Drosophila melanogaster: one gene and its partner. The protein of the gene in region 1 purifies or fractionates together with the protein of each later gene. This does not show direct contact. Each region holds a gene or a part of one and is shown on either strand. Other genes may lie near its edges.

What was found.
Region 2: the proteins of mEFTs (region 1) and CG2162 purify together in Drosophila melanogaster (affinity purification with mass spectrometry, with the first as the bait; one large-scale study listed by BioGRID). This does not show direct contact.

What each region holds. Positions count from the first base shown.
Region 1 is NT_033779.5:17,498,472-17,502,824, forward strand, and holds mEFTs (mitochondrial translation elongation factor Ts), read right to left. Parts: upstream 2,636-4,353; 5' UTR 2,198-2,635; coding exon 2,021-2,197; intron 1,813-2,020; coding exon 1,564-1,812; intron 1,459-1,563; coding exon 928-1,458; 3' UTR 797-927; downstream 1-796. Other genes in the region: CG15142 (uncharacterized protein), read right to left, coding at 1-291; Dhc36C (dynein heavy chain at 36C), read left to right, coding at 2,996-3,528, 3,591-3,815. UniProt on the Drosophila melanogaster protein: Associates with the EF-Tu.GDP complex and induces the exchange of GDP to GTP. It remains bound to the aminoacyl-tRNA.EF-Tu.GTP complex up to the GTP hydrolysis stage on the ribosome.
Region 2 is NT_037436.4:3,033,568-3,041,216, forward strand, and holds CG2162 (uncharacterized protein), read left to right. Parts: upstream 1-1,628; 5' UTR 1,629-1,726; coding exon of another isoform or gene 1,727-1,797; intron 1,798-2,923; coding exon of another isoform or gene 2,924-3,094; intron 3,095-3,161; coding exon of another isoform or gene 3,162-3,300; coding exon 3,301-3,334; intron 3,335-4,216; coding exon 4,217-4,394; intron 4,395-4,555; coding exon 4,556-5,000; intron 5,001-5,161; coding exon 5,162-5,338; intron 5,339-5,396; coding exon 5,397-5,690; intron 5,691-5,758; coding exon 5,759-5,948; intron 5,949-6,011; coding exon 6,012-6,251; intron 6,252-6,359; coding exon 6,360-6,409; 3' UTR 6,410-6,902; downstream 6,903-7,649.

The DNA of each region.
Region 1 (4,353 bases):
GTACTCCAGTTTGGCCATCACCTCCTTGTACTCGTTGGCGTAGGCAAGTGCGGCGCTGTTTGTCTGCTGCCTGTTGCGCAGCATCATCGCTGCATTCGCAGTGGAGCTACTGCCAGCAGAAGCGGCTCCACTCACCCTCGTTATCTCCACTTGTGGCACATGCGTCTTGATTGCTAGCTCCTGGTTGGTGTCCATTGCTGGCTCCTCGTCCGCCTTGGGGCGCGATGGCACGGCCGTGACGGTTATGTCGCTGTACCTGGAGCGGAAGGATTCAATGTCCAGGTAGTCCATTTTGGCGATTGAATCTCTAACGACGATCGATGGTTGATAATGAAAGGGATTTATTTGACAGGCCTACTTAGTAGCTAATATTTCAGTGCTGCAAATTTCTTAGGGCTGGAAAACCATTTCTTCTATTTTGATTTTCCTCCCTGGCCAAATCTACTCGTACTCCCATTTCCTTAACATGAGCCCCAAGCAAGTGGCATACCCAACCCTCACTTGGTTTTTGCCTTTGCCCCCAAAGCTAAAAACCTTTCTTTTTGCTCTTTCTTTTGGGCTATCGCATGACCAAGTGGGTAATTACGGGAAGCAGAACAAAAAAACACGTTTGTAAACAGTTCATTCTGCTGGCGTTGTCCATTCGCCCGTTCTTCCCGCGGGTTCCACTGCTTCAGCGACCGGAAGCCGCTCAAGCGTGCTTCCCGTTCTGCGCAGGCGCATTCTCCTTGGTCACCCCAATTTTTTGCCATGACTCATGGGGTATGGCGTATTCAAATAAGAGAGGTGGAGATCTGATCGTAATGGTTGTTTTACTTGTTTTACATGCAAATTTTGACCAGAACATTGTCCAGAATTTCGGTTTTAACAATCTTCAGCTGTTGTGCTAATAACAATTTAGTGTTCTAGACTCTGCTTAATGGCTAGTTAATTGCTGCTCTGGTGCTGCGAGCGAATGATCGCCTCCAGGCTGCGTTCCGTGTGCTCTCCGCACTCGAAGCGATGGTAGTCGACGATCTCGCAGTTGTGCTCCTGCAAAGCCTCGCCCACCGTCTTGTCCGCATCGAGCAGATACTCCTGGTGAATCAGGCACGTCTCATCGTCCTTGTTCTCCGCCGGCTTGTCCTTGTCATATTCGCCGATCTTTGTCGGCTTCATGCCCACGATTTGCTGGCAAATGCTCTTGTGAAACTCAAAGTCCAGCAGGGGGTGCGTGGATCGGTAGGCTACGATCGCTCCGTACTTGCCCACCTGGGTGATGCCTTCCGTGGTGCCCACATTGGTGGGTGCGGGATGGGCGTAGCCCACCAGCTTCAGGTCGTTGTTAGCCTTAAAGCACAATGCGCGCCGGATGGTGGCATTCTCCCCGATGGCGCCGATCAGCAGAGCCAGGTGGTCGCCCAACGTGCGTCCCTCCTCCGTGCGCAAGTTTCTGAGGGCGTCCGCATCAAAGCCAAGCTGAAAGGATATGCACATTCTTTAATTAGCAATTTCTTTAGGAATGGATGCAAAACCGGTTCTGATCCAAATATTGTGTACATTTCCCATAAAAATCTCGCTCACCTTCCACAGATCTCCATCGAAGTCCGTCAAGTCCGTGTATTGCAGACACATGCAGGCGACGTGGTCAACGAACCGCTTGAAGGTATCGTTCCTGGCTACGAAATCCGTCTCGCAATTCAGCTCGACCATGGCGCCCCGGTTTCCGCGGATGAGCACTCCAATCAGACCATGTGCAGTGGCTCGATCTGCGACCTTGGTGGCCTTCGACCAGCCGAGGGTCTGGGCCTGCTCGTGCAGCCACTTTTCAGCCTGCAAGAGCGAGATGATGGCAAGGTGAGTTGATTAGCACAGATGTGTTTTGATCACAAAGGAGTTTGCATGCGGTGCAGCTATATATATTACATAATAATATAGAAAAATCAGCAATTTTTCAAAATGTAGAGATCCCCATTTCGTGCTCTTTGTAATGGAAAGCTCACTGCACCGCTTGCAATAAAACTATTAGCCAACTACCCACCAATCCGACGTCGTTGTTGTGCTTCTCCAGCGCCTTCTTGCAATTGGCGAAGGTGTATCCGGTTTTCTTCCTCAGCGCCGCCAGGGCACTCTTCTCCAGGCCACCGGATCCGCCAGAGCCGGCATAAAGCTGCCGCGTGGAGTGAAGTGCGCGTGTGAAAAACCTTTGTAGCAGCATTTTTCCAAAAAATTTCCGAAATTTACTGGGAGGCCAAAATGATTTCTAGCGTGATTTGTGTGCGAATTGAATTGTTGCTCTTTGCCTGCTGTCAAGGGCAACTCGCCGGCTTGTTTGTTTTTCCGTTTTCCGACCTGTCGCTATGTAGTAGTTGCCCGGAAAATCAATTCATTCTAAACAACGGAAAAGCCTGTGTGAGATTTGCATTTGTTTTCAACTCCTTCGTATGTTCGCTTCGGTTCAAGAAAAATTAATCGCGTTGCGGCGCGAATAAATCCAAAGCGAGTGTGGTGCCTCGATAGGTGAACGACTGGTAAGCGTCGATAGTTTAGTTTTCGGCTTTTCTGTGTGCTTAATTCGAGCAATTAATTTTGAAACTGAAAATTTTGACAATTTTCCGTGTTGCACAATTCGGCTGTTAGGGATGGCAAAAAAGCCGGTAGGGCGCGTGTGCGGAGAACAGCTGTTGCGAAGCGACTATCGATAGTGGCGACGCTATCGTTGGCCAAATGACGTTTAGTGGATGTTACAACCTATTACCGGTTACAACCGATTCGAAATGGATTGAAACCAAATATTTAAAACTTAAACCTAATAAATAGTTTTTTTTTTAATTCTGGCGCACGTAGTTATTTTCTTAATTAATATTTTAGTGTTTTTTTTTACTTTAAATAGTACTTTGATTAATAACTCGGCGGGATACAATCGTTTTATGTTTCAAAAACAATTATTGAAAACAATTTTCATTTTCTGTAGTCACATTTTGATTCGAACGTTGAACCGATTTCAGGCTTCAACATGCAGGGCAGACAGAATCCGAATCGGGAGTTCAGCATCCCCAGCTTCACGTCCATATGCGGCGGTCGCCGCCTATGCGAGAAGTCGAAGATGCTGTACACGCGACCCAAGCCGGATGTGCTGCAGAGCATCCTGCAGTCAAAGGCCAATCCGGAGTACAAGTCGCGTCGCCTGTGGTACGAACTGAACATGCCGGAATGCGCCAGCTCCCTGCTGGACGGCAAGATGAAATCCGACCTGCCGGACAACATACTCTGCGCGAAGAAACAGCAGAAGAAACGCCAGAAGAAGCGTGAGAGCGGCGTGGCCAAGGCCAACTACATGACCATGCGACTGGAGCGGGAGCACTTCCGCCGCAAGCTGGTGGAGCTCATCCTGCACATGGACGACGACCAGGATCCCGAGCTGGCCGCCCAGTGCGCCGTACCCTTTCCCGACCAGGAGGAGCGCGAGATTCTGCGATATTACTATTACATCAAGCATGGCATTGACACCATTCACGTGTCGCCGTTGAGCAAGAAGATCCTCAAGAGGTGCGTTCCACTGAACACTTTCAAATGTATCTGCTTTTTTGCTAACTGCTTTCCGTCTGCAGGATAACCGATCTTGTGCCACCACTGCTCTACAAGTGGCAGACGGCACTCAATGAAAACATAGCCGAAGTCCGGGCGGACTACGTGTTCGCCATGAAGAAGGCCGTTGTGGACTTCGTCCTGCGGCACACGGTCCTCGATCGCCTAACCAAGGAGGGCGTGGGTGGCAAATACGACACCGCCGAGCGGCGGGAGGTGCAATCCATGACGAACTTTTGGCGCTATCGGTGAGTCTCCATGATGCTAATGTCAAATTCGATAAAAGTCTTCGATTTCTATTCGATAAATGGCAAATGAAACTTTTGATCCGTTAAAAGTGTATAATCCAGGCAGAATATAGAAACATTTTTCACGTTTTTCGTTAGCTTTTTCTATGCAAAAAAAAAAAAGAAAAAAATACAGCAATGCAGATGAAATTGCAACTTCTCTTAAGCCAAATGGATTTTGAGAGGCAAAATCAGAGTAGCGTAATTGATATTGAAATGCATGCGTTGTTTGGTTCGACAAAGTTGAAAAACCAATGCAAGCGAAGGGCGGGAATTTAAAGTTAGAAACTTCCGAGCGTGTGGGAAATTCAAATTTTTTAATTAAAATAAATTACACCCGCACCAAGTGCCACGTAAATTGTGCGCATTGTAAAAAGGGAGGCAGGCGGCAGGCAGGCAGGCAAAAAAAAAAAAAAATGGGTAAAAGAAAAAGTTGCTATAATTGAATGCGAGTGTGTTGTGTGTAACTTGCCTGTAACCGCCAGCAACGCATTTGGCG
Region 2 (7,649 bases), on another chromosome or scaffold:
CGTTTAATATGGGTTAATTAGACGTTACTTTGACTATAAAAAAGATAATTTTTTAAAGAATAATTTCATTGCTAACCCTAATACTCGAGGGCACACAGCGGGCCTCAAAAGTAATTAAAAGCAGATGATGTTGTAATCATAAACGAGTGGAAAACTATTTTATTAAACCAGCCAAACAGATTGCGGGCCCAAGAGATAAAAATCGAATGCAAAACGTCCTTCAATTCGGGCCCTCACAAGCGAATGGCTTTAAGATCGTAAAAATTTACAGCTTTCGTAATTGCAAAATAGTTTGGCATAACACGGAACTTATTGTTTAGGTACAGGAAAGGAATATGTACCAATATTGCCGATGGCAAACACCTACACCAGATAGATACCCAGTCATTCATGTATCCAAACACCTATCCATAAAAGATGCCTTCCAGATTTTATTGAGGCATTATCAGGCGAAATAAACGGGGACAATTTGACGAAAATTGGGGACTGGGAGGCCGAGGAGCCGGTTTTATGAATGCCATTTTGACAGGAGACGACAGCAAAGGGCGTTGCAAATTGCCGGGCGGGGCGTGGCAATGGGCATAGTTTTTGGCCAACCCTCAGACCTGTAATGAATGGCCATGTATGAGCGATAACAGAGCACTCGGAAAAATGTATCTTAAAGGTTGCTATATTTAAAGGCAAAATCATATTTCACATACAAGGCCAGTTGAAAAATTCAAATCACTTGAATGATTAATGGGTAAATGGGCAACCTTTTTCAAGTAGAGCCTAAGCCAAGTACTACCATTTAATAACAACTTGTAATTAATACGAAATGTTCTCTTTCTAGTTATTTTTGAAGTGTTTTCCGCGTGGGTTTACAGAATCGACATTTACGGCTCATAACCCACTGCACTGAAATGACGGAGTATTTGTGCTTCCCGATAGCCATTAGAAAGTGGAGCTGGTAGGCGGGGAGGGTAGTGTGGGGTGTTGCAAGTGGGTGGCTTTTGGGCGACTGGGTGGTGTGGGAGGTGTCAAGGGCGCGATAGCTCTTTGACAGCCGGGAAAGCGGATATGGAGTGAACGACAGGTTTTCCCTCAGCTCTTCCGCCTGGTAGTTCGTGTTTATGTAAAATTAATTTGAAGCTTTTAATCAAATATTAGCGGCAAAAAATGCTGCGGAGCTTGGTAGGAAAAACTGAGCCACAAAGCAGTGAAATTAAATACTTAACCTACTTTCAGCAGTCACTTTATGGACAAAATAAGAACTTATTCTCACGCATTAGCATTGTTTTAAGAAAAAAAGAATTTGCCTAACTAAAACACCAATTTGCGTTTGTAGCAACTTATTGTTCCCTCAAAAACGTTAATATAAAACTAAAACCGCACTGTAATAATGATGATACATACTAAAAATGTGAAGGGAAGAGTTAGTGATTGAGAAACGATTTATTTACTTTTACCACTTGTATTATTTGCTTTTAAAAATATCTACCGCGTAAGTATCTTACATTGTAAAATAAATGTAGGAAATGACTGATGTTATCGATTATTTATAAAATTCAAATGTTTAAGCTTTCGCGCGTAACATGGTATTTTTTAGGCAGTTATTCGCGTCCTCGGATCACAATCTGGTAACATCGAAAGTTCTAATTTTGTTTGTGTGCGTGCGACGTCGGTTTTTTCGTCGTCGCGACTTTTTTAAAATAAACTGGAGGCATTCGCAAATAATTTAAGCCTAATCGATCAGGAATTCGTACATAATGTCGGTTGTGATATCGAGCTCTTTGTCAAGAAGCGCTTGAATCGTGGGTAAGAATAAAGTCGCACCTACAAAATGAACGAATTAGAACTTTTTGCCACGAGAATAGCAAGTGCATATGTGTGGGTGTATGTTAGTGTGGGCATTTGTGTGTGTGTCTGTTGTGGTCTCTGAATGTGTGAGTGAAGGAGAAGGAAGTAGAGCTCCCCTTATTTCTCCAAAAACAACAAATACAGAGAGTAAGAAGGAAAGAGTAGGAGAGAGAATAACTTGTAACAAAGTACCGTTACAACAATGGTAATACGGAAATGTGCAACAGAGAAACAAAAACAACACCAACAACAACGAGAAGTAGTACGAGTTTTGTGGGCCTTTCGTGCAGATACCACCAGTTTTCCCCCACCCCTCCCCGTCTTTTTCTGCACAATTTCGAGTTTTCCCAGCTGCGCCACAGCAACAACAACCACAACAACGAGAGCAATTGTGACTTTTCCGCATTGCAGTTGCGCCAACTAACACCGATTTTTTGATTTGGGGCTTCGTGCCTAAGCGCTCTTCTTGCATTCAGCCCGCGTTTAATAAACAATTAATCGTCAAGCAATAAACAACAGCAAGCCGCGCATAGAAATTTGAGCTTTTTCAAAATATTACACCATCCGATTACATAATATAGTTTACAAGTCGTGCTTTGCCGTTCCGTTTTGTTTCGCTTGTTCGCCTTCTTCTTGAGGTCGTTTCTTGTGCTTCCTCTTCCAAGTGAGAATTCCCAACAACCTGTTAGAAGATTCGGTCCCATTGGGCGGCGCTCTAGCTGGGTTTATGCGGGACTGTAATCAAGATCTATCAATGGAACTAAAAATTTAATTATAGTGTGTTAACAATCAGGTAGTAAACAAGTTAGCATTAGAAGCACATTCTAAAAAAAAAAAATGGATTTACCTCTTCATTTTTAACACGGCTTTTATGAATATATGATTCATTTTTATCATACGAATTTAGTATCTAAGCTCCCAAATGTATTTCCGCCTGTTTTGCCTGTGCTTATCAGGAGTGTTTTCAATTCGCCTAATTATCGTTAATGGAGTTCCCGCATAAACGACTCACTATACACGCACGCAGTCAGCGAATTGAATTGATCGATGGTTTGTTCACCTTCTCCACCGCTTTCTTCCGCAGCGTTCTGCTCTTTCCACCTGTGGGCAACTACCGCCGTTATCTCATCCACCAAACATGTGAGAAATACCGCCAGCAGTACGATCTGTTCACCTTCTCAGTGGGCCAAGGGCCGCAGCGGCGCACCGTCCTCTGCTTTCGAAACCAGCTTCTGGATCCCAGCGGCTTTGAGAAGTGAGCATCTGATATCTGACAGTAGATTATTGTTCATTTCAATTTGTCGTTAATGCACAATTAACAGCCGCAAGCAGCAGCAGCAGAGGGAGAAGGATAGAGAGCGAGAGGCAGCGAGGAGCTGGCGGAGCAACAACAATTCGCACTATCACACGAACGGCAGAAGCAGCAGCGCCAGCAGAAGAAGCGCCACGGAGCTCTGTAAGATGGGCGTTAAGAAGCATATCAGCGAGACTCCATGTGAGTAAATGGCCCAAAGCAAGCTGGCCGTACATATAAACAAAGGCTATCCCCTGTTTTTTAATCACATTTTGGAGCGATGCGTTTTTGGCTCCCCGTTTAGCAAGCAGTCATAAATTTAAGTGTTCGCAAATACGCAAAAAGAAGCCAAACAAAGAAATCGAAAATGTAACAGGGATAGCGACGAATATGAGAATACCCAGTAATACTGAAAATTAATTCACATATTTATCTATGTACATTTTTGCCATTAAATTGCACAGTTGTGTTAGATACCCAGCAAATTGAAGCATTAATGAGCTTTCCAATCAGAAGTAATAACTAAATTCCGGCCAAGTGTATAGCAAACAGGTAGATTAACTAAAAATAACCAGATGCGCCAGCTGATCGACGTCGGCAGCGCCGTTGCCGTTCATTCAAGGTCGCCCTCTTTCTCGAGCGGATTTTTTGGTGATGTTGCATCACGGCTCACCTCACTTCACTTCACTTGGCTTCACGCAGGTAGACGCTCAACTGGTCGACCGCTGCGCACGCTCACCAGCTCTGGACCGCCCCCGCAGCCCCCCCTTGCTGCCTGGGATCCACCTGTCAAGTTCGTGTTGACATTCACGAAAATCGGGCATAGAGCGGATCGTAAAAAATTGGGTCGACATGAGTGAATTTTGCTTTTAATTTATTTTATGCCGAATCCGTTGCTTCACCTTAGTCTCTATTTTATTCGTTTTGTTTTGAGCATTTGCCAACTATTGTTGCTAATCGTCTGCTTAGCTCTCCCATTTGGCGATCTATCTTCGTATCATGTGAAGTATCTCACATTCGGCATCTTGTGTCTCTTTCTCAATGTATCTCATGGATGGCGCCTTCTCTATCTGTATCTTGCAGTAAGCAAATCGAATTCGGTGGATTTATACAGGCCGCCAGCGTTGAGGAACAATAGCAATAACAACAACAGCAGCAGCGAGGAAGCAGCTGCAGTAAACGAAGCTATAACAACACCATTAGCTGCAGGAACAGCAACCACTGCATCTACAAGTCCTACCTCCAAAGAATCCCCAAACAGGTAGGTAAATCGATTTGCAACCCATCAAAGTTAGGAATAGATCATAAACTGCGTATATACCTCTAACGAAACTGTTGATATTCTGTCGTGAGCTAATCTCGTTACCTCGTTTCCTTCACCGTTTATTATTATTATCTCTGTTTTGCTCCGCTCTTTCGTAGAGAGGCGGACGCCTCAGCAGCAGCAGCGGCGGCGGCGACACGACGTGAACGCCGTCCCGATCGAGCGGTTTATGTGCCAAGGGCACGACGCAGTCAAACTACACCACCGACTACTACAACAACAACAACGGCGGCGGCAGCGACAGCGGTTGCAACAACATCACCACCAGCAGCAGCAGCGGTGGTCGCAGCAACAATTACAACAGCGCCGGATTCCCCGCCAGTTGCAGATACACAGCCGAGCAAAGCGGACGACGTCAACGGTCAGCCGCCGTCCAAGTCGAAGAAAAGCAAATCGCATCGGGAGCGCAGAGAACGCGCAAAGAAAACGACAACAGCTACAACGGCCGATAACGCCACTGTACTGGTTATATCAGCATCTGAGAACGATACTCAATCCAACGAAGAACACCGACCGGCAAAGCCAGCGGACTGTGATAAGGAGGTGTGTGTACTAAAACAAGACAAGAACGTATATAAGCGAATCTAAAGCCTATGAATTAGTTCTTATTAACAATAATTGTTCAGCGTAGCGCCATTCTCCATCAGCAGTTAGAATTTTTTAATACACATTTTAATAGCTGACCTTGCCTTTCTAACATACAGATCATGAGCGGCGCCCAGCGTACAAAGCCAGGCAATGGCAACAAATCAGCCAGCAATGGCAAAAGCCAGGCATCGCCTCCGCTGCGCATCGAGGATGTGGTGGCGGCCAGGAGCACCAATGGCGAGGAGCCGGCCAAATGTGATAACGATGTGCGCGAGCTGCAGCGAGCCTCAAAGGTAAGTTATGCCGCATGGAATCAGCGAAATGTTTTAACTAACTTCCAAACGATTGCAGGAAATCAATCGCAGCAATCGGCGCATCATGAAACAAACCTTCAACTCAGATGTGCTGGAGATTCCCGAGAAAATAGAGACATCGGCAACAAAGGCCATCCCCACATCCCCGCAAGCATCAGCCACAGCGAAACCACCTGTAGACAGCACCACCGAAGACGATGACGAGGAGGACGAGGACGACTGGGAGAAGATGTTCGACGAGAGCGGCGACTGTCTGGATCCCAAGTTACTCCAAGAACTGACTGAATCCGTGGGCAAGTGCAAAATAGAGCTGCCCAAAATGGACTATACGGTAAGTAGATATAACTGGTTAACCAGCATCATCATCAAATTAAACACTCTGTTCCACAATTCGTACAGGTCTTTCACATTAAACAACAACTGCTCAACGAAGAGGAATTTCCGCACGTTCTGGAGGTGTCCAATTTCCCAGTGGAGTTCAAAACTCCCGACCTGCTCATGCTTTTCGCCCAGTACAGGGGCAGTGGTTTCGACATCAAGTGGGTAGACGATACCCATGCCCTGGCTGTGTTCAGCAGTTCCCGCATTGGTGAGTGCCTACAAATGCAACCGGAGATTGGTTCGGTAATGAAATAGAACGTTTCCTCCGCAGCTGCTGAGGTGCTGACGATGGGGCATCCGTTTGTCAAGTTGAAGCCACTTGCGGAAGCCACTCTGGAGTCACGACTGAAGGCAAAGAAGGCCGGCGCGGTGTCAATGCAGCCCTATCGCCAGCGTCCGGAAACCTGCACGGCCTTGGCCCGACGACTGGTATCGGGTGCACTGGGAGTCAAGCTGCCCACGGCGCCGCAGGAACGGGAGAACGAGAGGCGGGTACTACGTGAAGCCAAAGGTGAGTGCGGGCCATGTAACTAAACTGGGTCAAGGATATACTTGATTTGGAATCATTGGCGCTGCCTTCCCTTGGTCTTTTATTAATCTGCCTTATCTTTTTATTCAGAACGCAAACTGCTAGCTGCCAAACAGCGGGACGAAGTCTGGGAGAGCTAGACCGCGGCCCGGAAGAAGGCCAGGTGCATTTTTCTCACCCTTTTCTCATCTGCAATAAATGCGGCAGCAAACACAACACCATGTGGATCGACAACAAGAAACACCACCATTAACGCCCACAAAAACAATTCTCAATCAAAGCTAACACAGTAAATGAGTAATTCGCATGCTAAGCAATGTACTTTTAATGTTCGCTTTTTGTGAAATTAACACAGACTTTTGCTCAATTTGTTGTAGTTTTTAGAGGATGCAATGCATATTATATCATCTAGGCCGTAAGAGAGAAATATCTATATTTATTGGTCGTAGCAATTAAACGTGCAGAGAGACGCGTGTACGTGTTGTTTTAACTCCAGCCGTAAACCTAATTTTTAAGCGCGAGCAATTTATATATTGATATACAGTTTGTCAAGAAACTGTTTACACACTGTGAAATAAGTTGAATTTTTGACTTTAAAGCTAAAAATAAAGGGTTTTTTGCTTAATTAAACGCAATTTTTTTATAAAATATAATTAAACAATATTTATTTTACTTATAAATCAAAAAACAAATTAAAAATATTAAATATACAAGAAAATAAACAACAAATTCCAAGTTTACACACTTTTGAGACTGTCAAGAAACTCTTTACACAAAACACTAAATCGAAGTTTAATCCTAAATTTTTTAATTATTTTATTAAAATTTTAAAAGTTTTGGTATGTAGTATGTTCCCCATTGGCTTTAGCTACAAGTTGAAGCCTTTTTTTCATGGATTGGACAAGTTTTTGCAGGTCATATTCAAACGGGATCTTTTCACACTCTTCGACTATTACAGTCATAAGCTGTTGTTGTGTTTTAGGTCCCTTTTTGCCACCTTCTTCTTTAAGTAGGTCCACAAATTTTCAATGGGGTTCAGATCAGGACTCTGAGGGGGCGTATCGATCACTTTACCACAGTTATTAAGGCGCCAGGTGCGTACATTGCACTCTTTATGTTTCTGATCATGTCCTGGTAAAACTTAAGATTTGGCTTGTTGTTGCTAACTAGACCGAATTTTTCTGCACTGGCCTTCAAATTTGTTTTTTAACATTTCTAGATATTGCACGGCAGTTATTGTGCTCTCAATTAAGGCTAGTTTTCCCACTCCACGGCTGGTGATACAGCCCCAAACCATCAGTGACATTTTTCCAAATTTTATCGTTGGAATGATATTTTGTTTTTCTAGCGCACTCAACGGTTTGCGCCATACTCTGCTTG